Canis lupus familiaris: one gene and its partners. The protein of the gene in region 1 purifies or fractionates together with the protein of each later gene. This does not show direct contact. Links are inferred from orthologs where the notes say so. Each region holds a gene or a part of one and is shown in the gene's direction. Other genes may lie near its edges.

What was found.
Region 2: the proteins of WDR59 (region 1) and SESN2 purify together in Homo sapiens (affinity purification with western blotting; 4 studies listed by BioGRID and IntAct, with this or other methods). This does not show direct contact. The link is inferred for Canis lupus familiaris from reciprocal best matches to the Homo sapiens genes WDR59 and SESN2.
Region 3: the proteins of WDR59 (region 1) and CASTOR1 purify together in Homo sapiens (affinity purification with mass spectrometry; 3 studies listed by BioGRID and IntAct, counting the BioPlex papers as one, with this or other methods). This does not show direct contact. The link is inferred for Canis lupus familiaris from reciprocal best matches to the Homo sapiens genes WDR59 and CASTOR1.

Annotation. Positions count from the first base shown.
Region 1 is NC_049226.1:76,335,646-76,342,003, forward strand, and holds part of WDR59 (GATOR complex protein WDR59), read left to right. Parts: intron 1-1,479; coding exon 1,480-1,559; intron 1,560-3,147; coding exon 3,148-3,280; intron 3,281-3,416; coding exon 3,417-3,541; intron 3,542-5,252; coding exon 5,253-5,417; intron 5,418-6,081; coding exon of another isoform or gene 6,082-6,108; exon of another isoform or gene 6,109-6,141; intron 6,142-6,358. UniProt on the Homo sapiens protein: As a component of the GATOR2 complex, functions as an activator of the amino acid-sensing branch of the mTORC1 signaling pathway. The GATOR2 complex indirectly activates mTORC1 through the inhibition of the GATOR1 subcomplex.
Region 2 is NC_049223.1:71,548,808-71,555,165, reverse strand, and holds part of SESN2 (sestrin-2), read left to right. Parts: intron 1-224; coding exon 225-422; intron 423-941; coding exon 942-1,124; intron 1,125-1,231; coding exon 1,232-1,444; intron 1,445-2,387; coding exon 2,388-2,538; intron 2,539-2,995; coding exon 2,996-3,114; intron 3,115-3,489; coding exon 3,490-3,680; intron 3,681-6,358. UniProt on the Homo sapiens protein: Functions as an intracellular leucine sensor that negatively regulates the mTORC1 signaling pathway through the GATOR complex. In absence of leucine, binds the GATOR subcomplex GATOR2 and prevents mTORC1 signaling.
Region 3 is NC_049247.1:23,846,689-23,851,725, reverse strand, and holds the end of CASTOR1 (cytosolic arginine sensor for mTORC1 subunit 1), read left to right. Parts: intron 1-1,012; coding exon 1,013-1,200; intron 1,201-1,279; coding exon 1,280-1,412; intron 1,413-1,671; coding exon 1,672-1,795; intron 1,796-2,188; coding exon 2,189-2,302; intron 2,303-2,472; coding exon 2,473-2,555; intron 2,556-2,655; coding exon 2,656-2,750; intron 2,751-2,876; coding exon 2,877-2,945; 3' UTR 2,946-3,416; downstream 3,417-5,037. UniProt on the Homo sapiens protein: Functions as an intracellular arginine sensor within the amino acid-sensing branch of the TORC1 signaling pathway. As a homodimer or a heterodimer with CASTOR2, binds and inhibits the GATOR subcomplex GATOR2 and thereby mTORC1.

The DNA of each region.
Region 1 (6,358 bases):
GCTGCAGTACAGGAGCTTCTGGAGAGCTAGCAAGAAGATCAGGGTGTTGTGACCAGGGGGGCAGTCACTGGTTTCAGGTGGTGTTGGGGGATCAGTGTGCAGAATTAGAGAAAAGCACTTAATTTTACAAATGGGAAGCCATACGATCATTAAGAGAGGAATTCCAAAAACAAATTGAGGATAGAAGCCAGATTGTAAGGCAACATGACCAGAGGCAGCAGCATCTGGTTTTGTGAGTGAAGTTGTCTTCAAAAGCAGGGAGCAAAGTTGATCTTGGAGCTGCCACCTTCTCTCTCTGAGGGCAAGTACAGGGTGCAAGAAAGAGGTATGTGAGAAAACAAGGGCCCTATGAGAGAGCGAGAGGGAATGGGGGCAAAGGCACTGGTAGAGAGTTTGCGATTAGAACGGAATTAGGAATAACTTCAGGGACACGAAAAGAAGCCAGATGTGGAGGCAGAAAACAGTTGCTGACATGAATGTGAGTCTGCAGAGGGTTGAGAGGACTCCTGACAGGCAGTCGTTCAGAAGAGTTGTGTCCTGTGAGGCAGTAACATTGAGGAGCGAGGGCCCAATGGAGGGCAATGACATAGAGCAAGACCTTTTGCCCCTCACCCCCCTTTTAGCTCAGACAAATCATGTTCTCTGGTGCCTCCATGTTCCTATCTGTAAAATGAAGGAATCAAATGAAATTCAATTCTAAACTCTTCTAAATTCTTTGCTCTATAAGGATAGCTGTAAAGGAGATTCTAGATATGATCTAATTTACTCCAAAATGCCCTGATCTTTCATAAAGCTCCTAAACGATTTTAGAAGAATCTCCCTCTGACCAGACCTAATAATATGTGAAAATGCAACTCAGGCAATTAAAAACATTTGAGATTGATTATCCATTTTACAAAGAGATACATCTCTTCATCAAAAAATTCTTTTAAACAGTAAAGTTTCATTATACGTTTAAAGCAATTCATTTCACAAAATCATATTCACGCTTAGCTCCTCTGGAGCATATAAAAGGAGGAACATTTGTGGAGGCGAAAGTTCAATGTGACGTTAAATCCCAGCATCCCTCTTCACCTGCTGAGCTGCCAGTTATTATTTCACTTCATTTAAGTTTCTGCTCAAATGTGACTTCCTCAGGGAGTCCTGTTTAAAAATAGCTCTGCCATCAGTTCTCTTATCCTGGGTGTTTTTTTTTTTTTTTAATAACACTATCACTACCAGACATTTTATTATGTATTTATCCATTTGTCAATTGCCACCACTGAGCTGTGAGATCTATAAAGGCAGAGGCTGTGATATTCATGCTTGTCCAGGTATCTTAGAGCAGTGCCTGGCATCTAGGAGATGGTCAGTAAGTATTTGTTGAATGGATGGATGAAGGAATGAATGAAAGAATCTCACTCCAGTGCAACCTGTTGCAAAATTGATGTTGAATTAAAAAAAAAAAAAATTCCAGGATTTTCATTTGGTGATTTCTAGGGTCCAAGGACTACCAACTGGTAACATGGTCACGAGATCAGACGCTGAGAATGTGGCGGGTGGATTCCCAGATGCAGAGGGTATGTATTCAGTGCTGTTGTGGAGGAGTGTAACTGGATACACTAGAAACTTAAAAAAAAAAATACAAGATTTAGTATTTGTGGCAGTTAGAGGATATGTGGTAGACATTTAATAATAGTTGCTGGTGGCCTGAGTGGCATGTGTAGGCCACACTGAGGCTTTGAGGTTTTCAAGAGCCAACTTTAGTATTTGGTACTTTTAAGCGTGAAAAGCCTCTGACTGCCTTTTCTCTTGTCCTGGTATGAGAGTCTGGGTAGCCCACTGAGCAAATGGCCTGTGGACCTCATTTCTTTCTCTTCTTCTAAATGAACTAGGAAGTCTAACCTTACTCTCTGCAGTGTTCAGAGCCCTTTACATCCATCAGCAGCACCTATGAAAAGGTATTCTATGAATACCTTTCCAATGTTTGCCCCATAAATGATAATGCTTCTTATATGAACCATAATGGTTTGTACCTGGTGTGAACTGCTGTTGCCCTTGCTATATTCCATCTCAGAACGATTCTTTCACTCACTGGCTACATTTCTTAAAGGCAGGAACCATGCTTCACTTATGTTGCTTCCCCCATGATGCTTTGGATAAGGTCAATAAAAGATACTGGGTAAAATTTGCAATTTGCAGGGTGCCTTGCTGGCTCAGTTGGTGGAGCATGCAGTTCTTTTTTTTTTTTTAATGCCAAAACCTAAGAATGAGAGCCTGCAACTTTCTTTTTTTAAAGATTTTATTTATTTACTTGAGAGATGGGGGTGCTGGGGAGGAGCAGAAGGGAAAGGAGAGGTACAAGCAGATTCGTGGCTGAGTGTGGAGCTCAACATAGGCCTCAGTCCCATGATCCTGAGACTGTGACCTGAACCAAAACCAAGAGTCAGACATTCAGCTGACTGAGCCACCCAGGGGCCTCAGAGAACATCCAACTCTTGATCTCAGGGTTGTAAATTTGAGCCCCATGTTGGGTGTAGAGATTACTTAAAAATCAATGAATGAATGAATCAATCTTAAAAAGAATTTGCTGCTTAGTATAAAGTCACTCTGAGCATTTTGGTTAAGTATCATCACCTACTGCCTTTCAAATATATTTTTTCCAGAAGGTACCATTTGTTCATTTTTGGTTTTGGGCTAGCTGACCAACTCCAGAAAGGCTTGAAATTTTTAAAATAATGTTTTCTGAGGCTTGCCTAAACTGTGAACAGGATGAAAAATTTCCAGGGTAGTTTTTTTTTTTTTTTTTTTTTTCCAGGGTAGTTAAAAGAGTCTATTCTCCTAGGTATTTAACCAGGTAGGTCTGGTGGTGGGTGACACCTATTTTGATTATATCGGGTTTTGGCTGACATCTTTAGCCTTTGTTTATTTATTCATGAGAGACACAGAGAGAGAGGCAAAGACATAGGCGGAAGGAGAAGTAAGCTACCTGCAGGGAGCCTGATGCGGGCCTCGACCTGAGCCAAAGGCAGATGTTCAACCACCGAGCCCCCCAGGCATCGGGGTTTTTTAAAGTCATCAGACTTTTTAAAGTCTGAACTCTTAACTAGCCATGATGATCATTTCCACTGACTTTTGTAGAGCTAGATCTTCTACCCTTTGTCACAGCTTTGTGCAAACGACATATTGGATGGTGTTGATGAGTTCATTGAGAGCATTTCTCTTCTGCCGGAGCCAGAGAAGACCCTTCACACTCAAGATACGGATCACCAGCACAGCTCAAGCCATGGGGAGGAAGAAGGTAATTGGCCAAACTAGTGTTTCAGGTGAGGTGCCCCTCTCTGCATTTCAGAGTTACGGCAGATGCCCCAGAACTGCTCTTGGGCTCACTTTCAAAACTGTTTTCCAACCACTGAAGAACCTCTCCCTCCTGCTAGTCTTAAAGGAAGACCCGCCAAGCAGTATCCTGGAAGAGAAGAGGTCGGAACAGCTGGGGCTGCCTCAGACTCTGCAGCAGGAGTTCTCTTTGATCAATGTGCAGATCCGGAATGTCAACGTTGAGGTGCTCACTACTTTAGGGGATTCTCTCATGCTGGCGGGTGGTGCTTGGTGGGCAAGGGCCCGATTTCAGCTGTGATTCCGGTTAGCTAATAGCTTTGTTGCTCTAACTGGTAAATCCCTCTGCTTGCTTTTTTTATTTTTGAGGTTTTCTAGAGAAAGAGATGTTTGATAAATGCAAATTACAGCCTCACCGTAATATTTTCTCGTAAGATGAACCAAAGAATAAATTCATGCTCGTGTATCTTAAAATCCTCTCAGATGCCTCAGTTCCTCATTTTACCATGGGTGGCATTTACTCAGATCCAGAAAGGCTTAGTGTTTTGTCAAAGGTTACTAGTATAGTTAATGGCAGAGCTGAGTTTGGAAGCTAAACCTGACCTGCCAATGTTCTGTAGGCTCTGCTGTGCTGTCTTCCCTTAAAGCTGGTCACTTTCTTGATAACTTAGATTCATAGTAAGAAGGTCACCAAACCTCTTTGTTTATTTAACACATGGAAAGTTTGCTCCCTTCCTTTTGGGGTGGTTTTGAAATGGTTTCCTTCAGAGAATTGAGTCTGTGAAGTTTTGAATCTTGGTTTGTTTCTTTTTGGCCTATATTCAACTAACAGTAGTCATGGATACGTGTGTGTCCATAATTATCTCCTTTGTCCTTTTTTTGAGGGGTTGTGGGGAAGGGCAGAGGGAGAGAGAATTCTAAGCAGACTCCGCACCTAGCGTGGAGCCCAATGCAGGGGTTGATCTCACAACTCTGAGATCATGACCTGAGCCAAAATCAAGAGTTGGGTGCTTAATCGACTGAGCCACCCAAGTGTCCCTCCTTTGGCCTTTAGAAGGCTCTGCAATACATGCTTTTCTCCCTACTTTACAGAAGGAGAAACAGACACTAAGAGATGTAATGACTTGTCTGAGGTCAGCAGCTATTTCGTGGAAGAGATATTTGAATCTGTCTCTTGACTTCCCACATGTGTGCCTTTTCCCACTCTACTCCAGCAGCCTTTTCTGGTTGGCAGCATGAGAAATCAAGACAGTGAAAGGATTCCTTGATTAATTGGTTATCTGTATCAATTTAGATCACACCCCCTTTGTTGAGAACAGTGTTGTTAGCCTAGTGATTCTAGTTTAAGAGGGAGATCTTGATTGCTTTGCAAGGAGTGCTTTTTCAAAAGTATTGAGATATAACTCACACATCATCAAATTTACCCTTCTAACGTGTACAATTTGGTATTTCATAGTATAGTCACAAAGCTGTGCCACCATCGTCCTTAATTCCAAAGCATTTTCATTGTCTCTGAAAAACCCTATACCCATCTGCAGTCACATCCCATTGCCCCCCCATCCCCACCCTTGGCACCCAGTAATCCACTTGGTGTCTCCATGGATTTTTCTAGGAGTACTTTTCAATTGAATCCAGTATTTCAATTCTTCATGCTTTATTTTCTCATCTTAAATATAACAAGTTTCAGTCTACCTCACAGCTTTAGGATGAAGCTTTTTTAAGTCAAATTACTTTGAACTTATTAAATCAGTGCTAAAGTTAAAGATCGGTCTTGAACATGAGTTTTATAAATCTTCCAAATTCATTTGTCTCTGGAGAGTCTCCCTTTCCCCAGGTCCCAGGAACCTAGAGCTTGCAGCTAACTTGTCTAAATTCATTTGTATCTAGAGATGCCTGATGGTTCGTCTCTCGAGCAGTTGTCCCTTTGTCATCTGCAGATGGATGCGGCAGACAGGAGCTGCACGGTGTCTGTGCACTGCAGCAGCCACCGTGTCAAGATGCTGGTGAAGTTCCCGGCGCAGTACCCCAACAACGCTGCCCCTTCCTTCCAGTTCATCAACCCCACAACCATCACCTCCACGATGAAAGCCAAGCTGCTAAAGGTGGGGGTCTGTGTTCACAAATTCTCCTTAGTGTTGTAAGAGGAAAACTCTGTTCATGGGCATCAGTGTCTAGGTTGAGTGGTAAAGCTAAATGAAAACTCCAGTAGATAAAGATTTGAAAGTCATCTGTGCTTATGTGCGTCAGTGTTAACTGTTGATATTCACTGTGTATAGAAAATGTTAGAGCAGTGGTTCTTAACCTTTTTGGATCATGGACCCGCTTTGAACATCTAATGAAAATAGTAGACCCTTCCTCAGAAAAATTTGCATAAATGTATATAATTTCAGAAATATTGCATGTAAATAGATGTAGTTCTATAATTGTATATAATCTGCTCATAGATCTCATTAAAAGTATGCATTAATCTCAGGTTAAGAACCCTGCAATACATTTTAATTTATCTGGAAACAGTAGGCAAGATGTATTCTGAAGCTAAAAGATATTTTATAATCAGAAAACAGGAGGTGCATGGGGGGCTCAGTCAGTTAAGTGTCCAACTCTTAATCTCAGCTCATGTCTTGATCCCAGGGTCGTGAGTTCAAACCTTGTGTTAGGCTCCACTCTGGGCATTGAGCCTACTTAAAAAACAAACAACAAACAAAAACAAAATATAAGGTAATTTTAAAAAATCCATTCCCTGAAAGGAAGTGGTGTCGTCCTCAGGTGAGGCTCGGCTGGCTGCACGGGTGAGGTATCTGAAGGAATGCTGGTGCCTGAATGGAGGTGGGTTAGTCTGGCATCTAACTTGCTCCTGTAGGTCCTTTCTCCTGCAGGCTCAGGAATTTGCTTTGTCAGTTCATGCAGAACTAATCAGCAGAATCTCCATTAAAGAAGCCCCACGAGCTGGGCATGATACACGTTTTTCAGCATGAGCAGCATCATGAGTGAAATAACTGAAATGTTCTGACAAACCAAGCTGACCCAAGTGCTATTCACCTTT
Region 2 (6,358 bases), on another chromosome or scaffold:
GCTAATCTGGATTTGAATCCACGTTCCGGTCATTTACTAGATCTGTAACCTTGAGCAAAGAGATCACTTAAAGAATTCTCTTTTCCTCCCCTATTTTCCTTTTTTTTGGACATGACGGTCAGTTTTTAGTTTCTCGGCTATTATAGTCCCAACACAATGAATACATTGGTCTCTTTGATGTGGAGGGTGGTCTGGGAACTCACCCTCTCTCCTTTGCTTGGCAGGTCCTTCAGGAGGGAGCTGAGAGCCTGGAGCAGCACCTGAGGCTAGAGGCACTGATGTCCTCTGGACGGGTGGACAATCTGGCAGTGGTGATGGGCCTGCACCCTGACTATCTTAGCTGCTTTTGGCGTCTGCACTACCTCTTGCTGCACACAGATGGGCCCCTGGCCAGCTCCTGGCGCCACTACATTGCCATCATGGTGAGCCTGTCTGAGTCCAACTCTTGTAGGGTTGGCCACATGGGGGGTTTTGGTCTTGAGATCTCTTTGCTGGGTGCTTCCTAAATTCATTCCATAGCCCAGAAGGAAAGGTTGCACAGTGCAGAGGAAAGCCCTAACTTTATCTAATCATCCACAGAATTGTGAAGAGAGACTTTCTTTTTTTTTTTTTTTAATTAAGTAGGCTCCATACTCAGCATGGAGCCCAATGCGGGGATTGAACTCATAACCCTGAGATAAATCAAGACCTGAGCTGATAGCAAGTCAGATGCTTAACTGACTGAGCCACCCAGGCATCCCAAAGAGGCATTTTTAGTGCCTACTTTATGAAGAAGGAAACAGGCACAAAGGAGTCAGATGACCTGACCAAGGAAGGAGAGCAAACTAGTGGAGCTGGGGTCAGGACCTTAGAGTCCTGCCTCTCTGGCCACAGTGAGGTCTGGGATTTCTCCCTCCATGGGGTATCTACCCTGAGCAAGGATCTGTCCACCCCCTCCACAGGCTGCCGCCCGCCATCAGTGTTCTTACTTGGTGGGTTCTCACATGGCTGAGTTTCTGCAGACGGGTGGTGACCCTGAGTGGCTACTTGGTCTCCATCGTGCCCCCGAGAAGCTACGCAAGCTCAGTGAGATCAACAAGTTGCTGGCACACCGGCCGTGGCTCATCACCAAGGAACATATCCAGGTGCCATGGGCAGAGAGGCAGTGGGAGCAAAGGGGCCGGGCTGGGGCATGTCAGGCAGTCAGCCTAGGGCCAGGCACTGAGCCAGTCTGGCCTTCTTTCCTCTCCAGGCCTTGCTGAAGACAGGCGAGCACAGCTGGTCTCTGGCAGAGCTCATCCAGGCACTGGTCCTGCTCACCCACTGCCATTCACTGGCCTCCTTTGTGTTTGGCTGTGGCATCCTCCCTGAGGGGGACTCAGAGGGCAGCCCTGCCCCCCAGGCACCTTCACCCCCCAGTGGGCAGAGTAGCCCACCCAGCAGGGACCCAATGAACAACTCTGGGGTAAGTCATGGGCCTGGGTCTTGTTGGGAGAAGAAGCTCGCATGGCCTCTGGTCCTTGCATGGAAGCCAGTGCTTCCCTATCTCACGCTGAGAGGCCTCAGAAAAGTTAATTGACTTTGAAACTTGGTTTCCTCATCTGTGAAATGAGGCTACAGACCCCTACTTCATAAGGGTTGTGAGGATCAAATGAAATAACCATGTGGTAGGCCCCTTGGCATGTAGCGTCTTAGGCATAAGGTCTCCTGAGTATTAGCACTTTAGAAAGTTTGCCTCTTACTCCATCAGATGGCCTTGTTTGTTTTAATATAAAATTACAGATACTTTAATAATCCCCTTTCCAGTGAGGGAGGTTGATGGTCAGAGAAGACATGCCTATTCCATAGCTTCTTAAACTTCACTTTTTTTTTGAAGATTTTTTTTATTTATTCATGAGAGACACATAGAGAGAGGCAGAGACACAAACAGAGGGAGAAGCAGGCTCCATGCAGGAAGCCCGATGTGGGACTTGATCCCAGGACTCCAGGATCACGCCCTGAGCCAAATACAGATGCTCAACTGCTGAGCCACCCAGGCATCAGTTTTTTTTTGTTGTTGTTGTTGTTTTTTTTTTTTTTTTTTAAGATTTTATTTTTTTATTAGGGAGAGCGAGAGAACAGGCACAGGCAGGGGGAGGGGCAGAGGGCAAGGGAAGAGCAGTCTCCCTGAGGAAGAGGGAGCCAGGATACGGCAGGGCTTGATCCCAGGACCTGAGAGCCATAGGCAGACACTTAACCGAGCCACCTAGATGCCCCTTGAAGTACAACACACTAGCTGCCCAGCCCACTGGCTGCCTCGGGAGGCAGTGCGCCCCTGTGGTCGCTCGGGGTGGCCTGGCTTATGGGAAGGATGTGTGGAGTTTCCTGGGGCTGAGGAGTAAGTGGTCACCATGGGGTCCCTCCTGCAGGGCTTTGAGGCTGCCCGAGACGTGGAAGCTTTGATGGAACGCATGAGGCAGCTCCAGGAGAGTCTGTTACGGGATGAAGGAGCATCCCAGGAGGAGATGGAGAGCCGCTTTGAGCTGGAGAAGTCGGAGAGCCTTCTGGTGACTCCCTCAGGTACAGCGTCACAGGAAGCCAGGTTCCAGGGGCTGCCCCCTTCTTACACCATCTCTGCTGGGGAGTAGGCAACTCCATGCATGGCCCCTCTTATATTTTGGAGGCAGCCACATCTCAATCACTTCTTCTAGGAGGTTCCGAGCATGGACTTTAGGGTCAGCCCCTCTGGCAATGTGACCCCTGAGAATTCACTTTCTGTCTCGGGGCCTCAGTCTCCTCCCACGTGAAGGATTGGTTTGTGGGGTAAATGGGACAATGGAAGCAAAACTCTTAGCACAGAGTAAGTGGCTCCATGAATAACTACTGTTGTCAGGATTGCTATGATTATTACTGGGGGCCTTATCCGCCGGGTCCATGGGCAGCCTCATCTACCCCCACCCATTATTGATTAATCAGGAGTAGATGCTCCTGTACTCCATGCCTTGGCCTCACTGTGACCTGTTTCTGACATCCTTAGCCGACATCCTGGAGCCTTCTCCACACCCAGACATGCTGTGCTTTGTGGAGGACCCCGCTTTCGGATATGAGGACTTTACCCGGCGAGGGTCTGAGGCGCCCCCCACCTTCCGTGCCCAGGTAGGTTCTCTAGGGTCTTGTTGGCATTGCACTGGGTTTACAAACAAGCAAGGGGTGGATGGCTTGAGTGGTTAGAAAGCCAGGCATCTTCTCCCTTGAGATTCTGTGAGGGAAATGGGAGACCCTAGATTGTGTCAGGACCTATCTGTGCCCTAAGCTCAGGGGATCCTGGTCACAGGGAGAAGGTCATCACCAAGGTGCATTCTCTTTGGCTTCTCCCAGACCAAGCAGCAGGCCCAGATCAGGCAGCAGGTTAGATCTGTGGGGCAGGAAAGAGACTATAAAGAGTGAAATTGTGCTCCAGAGGATGGGGTCCCTATGGCCAACCTTGGACCGCCAAGATTATACTCCCTGACCCCTTCCCACATTTTTCAGGATTATACCTGGGAAGACCATGGCTATTCACTGATCCAGCGGCTTTACCCTGAGGGTGGGCAGCTGCTGGATGAGAAGTTCCAGGCAGCCTATAGCCTTACCTACAACACCATTGCCATGCACAGTGGAGTAGACACCTCCATGCTCCGAAGGGCCATCTGGAATTACATCCACTGTGTCTTTGGGATCAGGTGAGCATAGAGCCCCTCATCCAGTGTGCATGTGTGCTACAAACCCTCAATCTCAGCTCACAGCTGTTTCCTTTTGTTCTTTGTTTATTTCTTTTCCCTTCTTCCTGCCTATAGTATTTTTCAAAGCAAATTCTTTTATTTGCTGATTATAAAAGATAATAGATGTGCTGTTTGAACCTTGTCAAGGAAACTCTTTAATCCCACCCTCTAGAGATAACTAAGGAGATACTTAGAAGAGTCGGGAGGGAGAGAGAGTGTGTGTTTCCATTCCAAGTAGGAGCTCTTCTCTTACAATAAATAAGGATAACATAAATGCACATCAGTAGGAGACTTTAAATAACGTTATATCCACTCAGTGAAAAAGTATACAGCTATTACAAGTTATAATAATGGTTTCTTTATATTGCTATGGGAAATTGTACAAAACGTATTGAGAAAAAAGAAAGCTGGTTACCAACCAGAATCTTCCTTTTGTTCCCCCCTTTTCTTTACTAAAAATGTGTGCATGCATGGAAAATGTGTGGAAGGCTACACACTAAAATGTTAATTAATAATGGTTGTCTCTGGATACTGTATGATTAATTAACATTTTCATCTTGTTATTTAAGTATTTTCTGATTTAAGTAGATTTTTTTTTAATTGATGGAATCATGCTTGATATATTCTACAACTTGCTTTTTTTTTTCACCTAGTCATCTATTGTGAACTGCCTTCCTTGTCAGTATGAATAGATCTTTTATGTTTTTTAACCACTGAATGGTGTTCCATTATGGATGTAGCTTAATTCAACCACGCCTCAATTATCGGATGTGTAGATAGTTTGCAGTTTTTCACTATTAAAAACACCATGTGCACTGGCTACCCTTATACCTAAGTCCTTATAGATGATCTCTAGATGTGAAATTACTTGTCAAGAATATACACAGACCATGGGGTGCCTGAGTGGGTCAGTCAGTTAAGCGTCTCCCTTTGCTCAGGTCGTGATCCCAGAGTCCTAGGATCGAGCCTGGCAGGTACCCTGTTCATGTGGTCTCTCTTACTCACTCTCTCTTCATCTCTCAAATAAGTAAATAAAATCTTAAGTCACTTAACTGTCTGAGCTGCCCAGGCACCCCTATTTTTAAAAAATTAATTTTTTAAAAAGATTGTGTTTATTTATTTTTGAGAGGGAGAAAGATAGCAAGTGTGTGAGCTGGGGGAGGACAAAGGGAGAGAGAGAGAATCTCCAGGCTGAGTGCAGAGCCCAAAGTGGGGCTTGATCTCATGACCCTGAGATCATGACCTGAGCCAAAACCAAGAGTCAGACCGACTGAGCCTCCCAGGTGCCCCCAGACCAATTTTTTTTTTTTTTTTTTTTTTTTAAGAAATCTCACTCCGATAACATTGTAAGAAATTCAAAGAATTAAGGGGGAAAAAACCATTTCCCAGATTCAGCTACTTAACAACCACATCCCCATCCTGTGACAGTCTTTCTCCGTTGCTTTTCTTCTTTCTAATGTAGTTGCTTTTCTGTAGTTGGAGTTATAACAGTTATTACATTTTTTAAATGTATATTTGATGTTTATAGAGAGAACTAGATTTACAGTAAATCTAGAAAACAGAAGTAACAAAAAGGAGAAAATAAAGATCATCCATCATCCCACCTGCTCTTATTATTGTCAAGTATTTCTCTCCTGGCTTTTTTCCACACGCCGATAACCAAAACACACATAATTTTACAAACACAAGATTTTCTCCCTACTCATTTCACTTATTTTACTCATTTAATCAAACGTGTTGTGGCTATTTTAATGAATATGTGATCTTGCTTTTTTCATTTAATGGTTTAGTCCAAGCATCTAAAAAAAAAAAAAAAAAAACCTATGTTTTTAGAAAGGTACATATTCCCTGTAGAAAATGTGTGTTTTTGTGCTACTGGCTGTAAATTATATTTCACTGGGTGGATTCATTTGTATTTAATTGGGCGTCTTCTTGCTAGTCATGGACAGTTTTCCAGCCCAGGGGAGGTGGAAGAGGGGCAAGCGTCTTAGAGTGTGGCACAGGCTGCTTCTGCCCAGCTCCCTGGTCCACGCTTCCCCATTCTCCAGCATGGTTCTTGCTCTCATGCCTCTGTCTACTGAATCTGTCCTCCAGTTTTCAGCCAATTTACCCCATCCAAACTGATCTGTGATGACTCACTGGCTCACTGGACTGGAGAGTGACAAAGTGGCTTCCAGACTTGTCACCAACTTGCTCTTTGACTTTGAACAAGTTAATTATCTGCTCCAGGCCTTAGTTTGGCCGTCTGTAAAACGAGTACCACTTCTTTTTCCCTTTCTCTTTGCCTTCTCCAGGGAAAGTAGTTGTACTAACCTCCTGCCCCTTCTTCCATGGCTTTTACTGTAATGAGTATGACCTTGGAGCTGGGCAGAGCTGGGTTTGAAATCCATTCCCAGGACAAGTGATTTCACCTCTCTCACTTTCCTTTTCAGTTATATAATGGGGCTGATGAATATGGTGTGTTTTTTTTTGTTTTTTGTTTTTTTTTTTAATTTTATTTATTTATTCATGAGAAACACAGAGAGAGAGAGAGAGAGAGGCAGGGACACAGGCAGAGGGAGAAGCAGGCTCCATGCAGGGAGCCCGATGTGGGACTTGATCCCGAGGCTCCAGGATCACACCCTGGGCTGCAGGCAGTG
Region 3 (5,037 bases), on another chromosome or scaffold:
CTGGCTGTGTGCCCTTGAGCAAGTCATTTCCTCCCACTGAATTGTTTGTTTCCTCTTACGTAAAATGGGTATAGTTGTGGTTCTGATCATAGGGTCCCATGAAAACTTTATAGACAGGGCTGTGAAGGGCACTTGGCAGCCTCAGGCCAGTTGCAGGGCCAGTTTAGGGCAAGAATCAGAGGTTCCTATTGCAGTTATATTCCCCCTGGCCATTATTTCTCCCTGCACTTATCTCTCTGGTGCCGGTCACCCCCTCCCTGGCTGGTCTGGGAACTCCAGGAGTCTGAGGGTTGGAAAAGGAGTGCAGGAGCAGGCAGCCAGCCCATGTCCAGGACCTGGGGGGCCTCCTGGCTGCTGCTGTGGCCTGGACACCAGCCTGTTTTCTCCCTGGTTCCTGAAGCTGACATCTGGCTCCTACTCCTGCCAGCCTGACCCCTCTTCACAGGCCTGGAGTCGCAGACCACGAAACTGAGGCTCGGCCCATACTTCACTGCAGCCTTTTAGACTTTAGTTTCCCCGTTTGTACTGCAGTAAAGTCTGGGTCGGCTAAGGGAGAAAGGCTTCCTTCAGCCAACCTGGTTTGTTGGCGCCCCCTGCTGGTGCCACATGGTATAAAACCTCTGTTAGTCTAAGAAAAGCTATCATGAGGTGTATACTCTCAATCCCATTTTACTGATGAGGAAACTGAGATCCGGGAGGTTAAATCATTGACCTCGGGTCAACAGCAAGTAAATGGTGAAGCCGGGATTTGAACCCAGGTCTGTCTGACTCTGGAGCTCCAGTCTTAACTGGGAAGTTTCCATCCCTAGCAGGCCAGCACCTGAAGCACTTCTCAGTTCTTGCATACATGCAGCTCAGGAGCAGAACTTGGGAGAGGGAGACAGCCCCAGTCTCCAGACCTGCCATTACCTTCGTAGAACCCCCCCACCCCCAATTCCTGGACAGACAGGGAAGCCAAGGGGCAGGGGCCAGCCCAGTAGGCCCTGACCTGGTATATACTTCCTGCTCACAGAGCTACCCCCATCTGAGTTCCTTCAAGTGGCTGAGGCCACATGGCTGGTGCTGAACGTGTCATCTCACAGTGGTGCAACCGTGCAGGCTGCCGGAGTCACCAAAATTGCCCGCTCGGTCATTGCACCACTGGCAGAGCACCATGTGTCTGTCCTGATGCTGTCCACTTACCAAACGGACTTCATCCTGGTGAGTTTTCTGCAGGCTCCGGGGCAGGGTGGGCATGGGTGCCTGGGGACTCGTGTTACATCCTCCTCTTGTGGTCCAGGTGCGGGAACAGGACCTGTCCGTGGTGATCCACACGCTATCCCAGGAGTTCGACATTTACCGGGAAGTGGGCGGGGAGCCTGTGCCTGTTGCCAGGGATGATTCCAGCAATGGCTTTCCCCGTTCGCAGCATGGTGAGGCTACCCTCACACCCAGACCTAGGCAGGGCCTCCTCTTTCCACGGGGGCCCTTCCCTTATGAGAGCTGGTCTGTGGACGTGGGGATACCGGCTGACACAGACTGCCTCACAAGATAGGGAGATGTGGTGGAGAAGAGGGTTCCTGTAGAGCAGGACCCTAGCCTCCACCCAGGCCCCTCCCTATCTGGCCACCAGGGGGCGCCCCAGCCCACAGTCGCCCTAACAGTAGTTCTCTGCCTGGTCCCTCCTCCCAGGGCCCAGTCCCACGGTGCATCCCATCCAGAGCCCACAGAACCGCTTCTGTGTCCTCACATTGGACCCTGAGACACTGCCAGCCATCGCTACCACGCTCATCGATGTCCTCTTCTACTCCTACAGGTGAGCTGTGTTCTCATGCCGTTGCTCCCTATGCCTACCACCTTCTGCTTGTTCTGTAACTCGTGCCCTGTTCTGTATCTTGGGTTCCTGGCAGCCTGTGATACCCATGTGCCCCTCACTGATGTTCAGGGAAGATCCCAATGCCACAGCTGCAACCCTTTCCTGTAGTGTAAGCTGAGACACCCCTGACCCAGGCCTTAGGTTGGACCCTCTATCAGTCCTGGGGTCCAGCATCTTTGAAACAAGCGAGATTCATCGTCCCCTCCCACCCCTGTCCAATCCCCATCAGGGTATCAGGGCCCTCAGACAGGGGAGGAAAGTGGCCCAGAGATGGGAGGAGATGCAGTGGGCTGGGTACCCCGAAGAGCACTTGAGCCTCCTGTTCTTTTCTAGTGCCCCCAAGGAGGCAGCCTCTGGTGGTACTGGACCCAGCTCCATTACATTCTTTGCCTTCTCCCTCATTGAGGGCTACATCTCCATCGTCATGGACGCTGAGACGCAGAAAAAGTATGTGACTCCTGAGCCCCAGGGACCACAGATCCCAAGGCCAGCCCTAGGGAGGGAGGAAATGGAGCATCAGACTCTGAGGTCACTAGGTCAGCCTGCTTCCAGGGGCTCACATTGGGGCAGGGAGGGGATGCGTGGGTGCCCTGCCCACTACCCACCTGCCTTTCCAGATTCCCCAGTGACCTCCTGCTAACCAGCTCCTCAGGAGAGCTGTGGAGGATGGTGCGCATTGGTGGACAGCCCTTGGGCTTTGGTAAGGGCTGCTTCTTGTGTGTTGGGGACTTGGGGAAGATCTGCGAAGGGGGTGACCAGGATGATGTACATGGACTCCTTCCCCCTGCCCCAACCCTCAGATGAGTGTGGGATCGTGGCCCAGATTGCAGGCCCCCTGGCTGCAGCCGACATCTCTGCCTATTACATTAGCACCTTCAACTTTGACCATGCCTTGGTAAGCACCGTGGGGTGGGCTCCTGGAAGGACAATGAGGCCCCGGAGGGTGGGAGGGGGAGGGTGCAGAATGTAGTCCAGGAAGTTGACATGGCCCTGATCCCTCCCTCCACCCACCTGCCCACAGGTGCCTGAGGATGGCATCAACAGTGTCATTGAGGTCCTTCAGCGACGGCAGGATGGCCAGAGCTCCTGAGGCCTCCACACTCTCCCTTCACCCCAGGCTTCCAGAGACTTCTCTAAGCTATTTCCTCGAGCTCTGGGATGAGCCTTCCCCACCCCCATTCCTGCCGGGGGACCCCCTCCTTCTGCTCTCTGTATATAAGCTGCGTGCAGGCACCGGCTCTCACGTGGACATGCGTGTCTGCCCACGCAGGGGAACACGGTGCTCTGGGCTTTCCTCCGGGAACCCCTCACCCCATCACTCCCTGCGCGGCCTCAGTGTTTGCACATTCCCTGCCTGAGGCCCGAGCCATCCCCTCTCAGCACCCTGGGCCAGCCACTCCCTGGACAGGGTCCTTATCTCCGTTCTGCCTCTGGCTGGGTTGCCTTCCCTGGCCAGGTGAGTTCTGACAGTGCCTGCCCCTCAGGGGGCCTCCAAGAAAAGTATTTTTACATCTTTCTCCCTTTTTTATTGACTTGTTAATAAAGGGCTTGTAGTTCTAAAGGGTTGGGCTGTGGTCTATAGGGGTTGTCTGAGCTCAGACAGGGCTGCTCTGCTGCTGCTCCCAGCCCCTCTACCTGAAGTCTGGGTCTGTCCCTATGTACCTGACTCTGGCTGGGCTCACCTAACTCAATTCTCACCTCAGGGAGAACTGAACCTTTGAGAAGTGAAGTGACTTATTCCCATGCAGGGCTACCTGCCTCTGAAGCCCATCCTCTTCCTTCCTTCCTTGCTGCTTCTGGAATAGCCCAGAAAGTTCTGAACATGGTTAGAGACTCTGAGACCCTCTCACCTAGAGATAGATCCTCCCCGCTTCCCAGCCTTTCCTGCCACCTTGGGTGTGACTGGCCTGTTGTGAAACCCCTCAAGGAGGGCTCCAAAGCACACTTCTTCCAGGCTGCTGCCTGCCTGCTTTTGGACAATGCCTGAGTCCTGGAGGTCCCTCACAGGAGTCCCTGTTGGCCAAGAGATCAGTTAGTTCTTGTCACCACGGCTCTCCTGGAGTAGTAGGAAGAGGGGGCCAGCCAGAGTGGAGACCTGAGAGTCCAGGCACTGGGCTTCCCCTGGCCAGGACAGGGGCCTGGAGGCCACCTGGAACCCACTCTGCCTTCAGAGGCTGCCTTCCTGGTCCAGAGACTTAGCACATGTGGGCCTGGGTCTCCTGTCACAGAGGGGCTGCTTCATTGCTCCATGATACCGGGCTTCCACTGTGGGCCAGATGGGACCCTAGAGATGTGCTGGGGAGGTTATCAGGTACCCTCAGCCCAGACCCACCCACATTCAGGAAAGGAAGAAGGGTGTGACTTCGGCGTATTTAGAGGTCACAGTGTCTCCCCAGAAAAGGCAGAAAGGGGGCCAGGCTTCTGGCAGTGTGCCCGCCCTGCCCCTGGGAACCCAAGGGGCTGCAGATCACAGGAGCAGAACGCACAGCCCAGCCCGGTGAGTGAGTGGTCGGGGACACTTGGCCTGCCCCTTCCCTTCAGACTCCATTTCTTCACATGTATCAAGATCTAGGAGGCAGCTTTTTTAGGACCCCTCTACTTTTTGACACTGGAAAGGGGCATTGCTTTGTATTTTGATGTCAGGGGGTGGAGTGAGGAGTTCTGGCCTCCCTCTGGAGGGCACAGCCTGGACCCTGGGTCAGAGGATGTTCGGGCTGAGTAGGGGCTTTAGAACCAGAATCCTTGGGGCTCCTGACCTGAGAGCTCCTGGGCCCCACATTCATCTTTGGGGGACGGGGGGTGGAGGGGTCTGTCCATCTGTCTGCTTGTGAGTCACTGCCTGATTTAGATGTTTCTATTATCATGGCTTTCCAGGTACATTAGGGCTTTGCCCAGTCCTTCAAACCAGGTCCTAATCTGGCAGCAGTTAGTTCTTGTACTGCCCACAGGACTGGCCTGGGGAAGGGGCCCCCCTGGGTAGTCTGACTTAGAGCCAGGCCTAGAGCCCATGTGTGTCTCTTTGCCACATGTGTGTGGGTCTTGGTGGAGGGTTTTATTCCCAGGGCATTAGGGTCCTTGGGGGTCACTGGGTCAGCTTGGCCTTCAAGAGGTTATAAATGAAGAGATCTGCTCTGGGATTGCCAGGGATACCAGGACCCACCTGGGGTGAGCCAGGGTTTGGG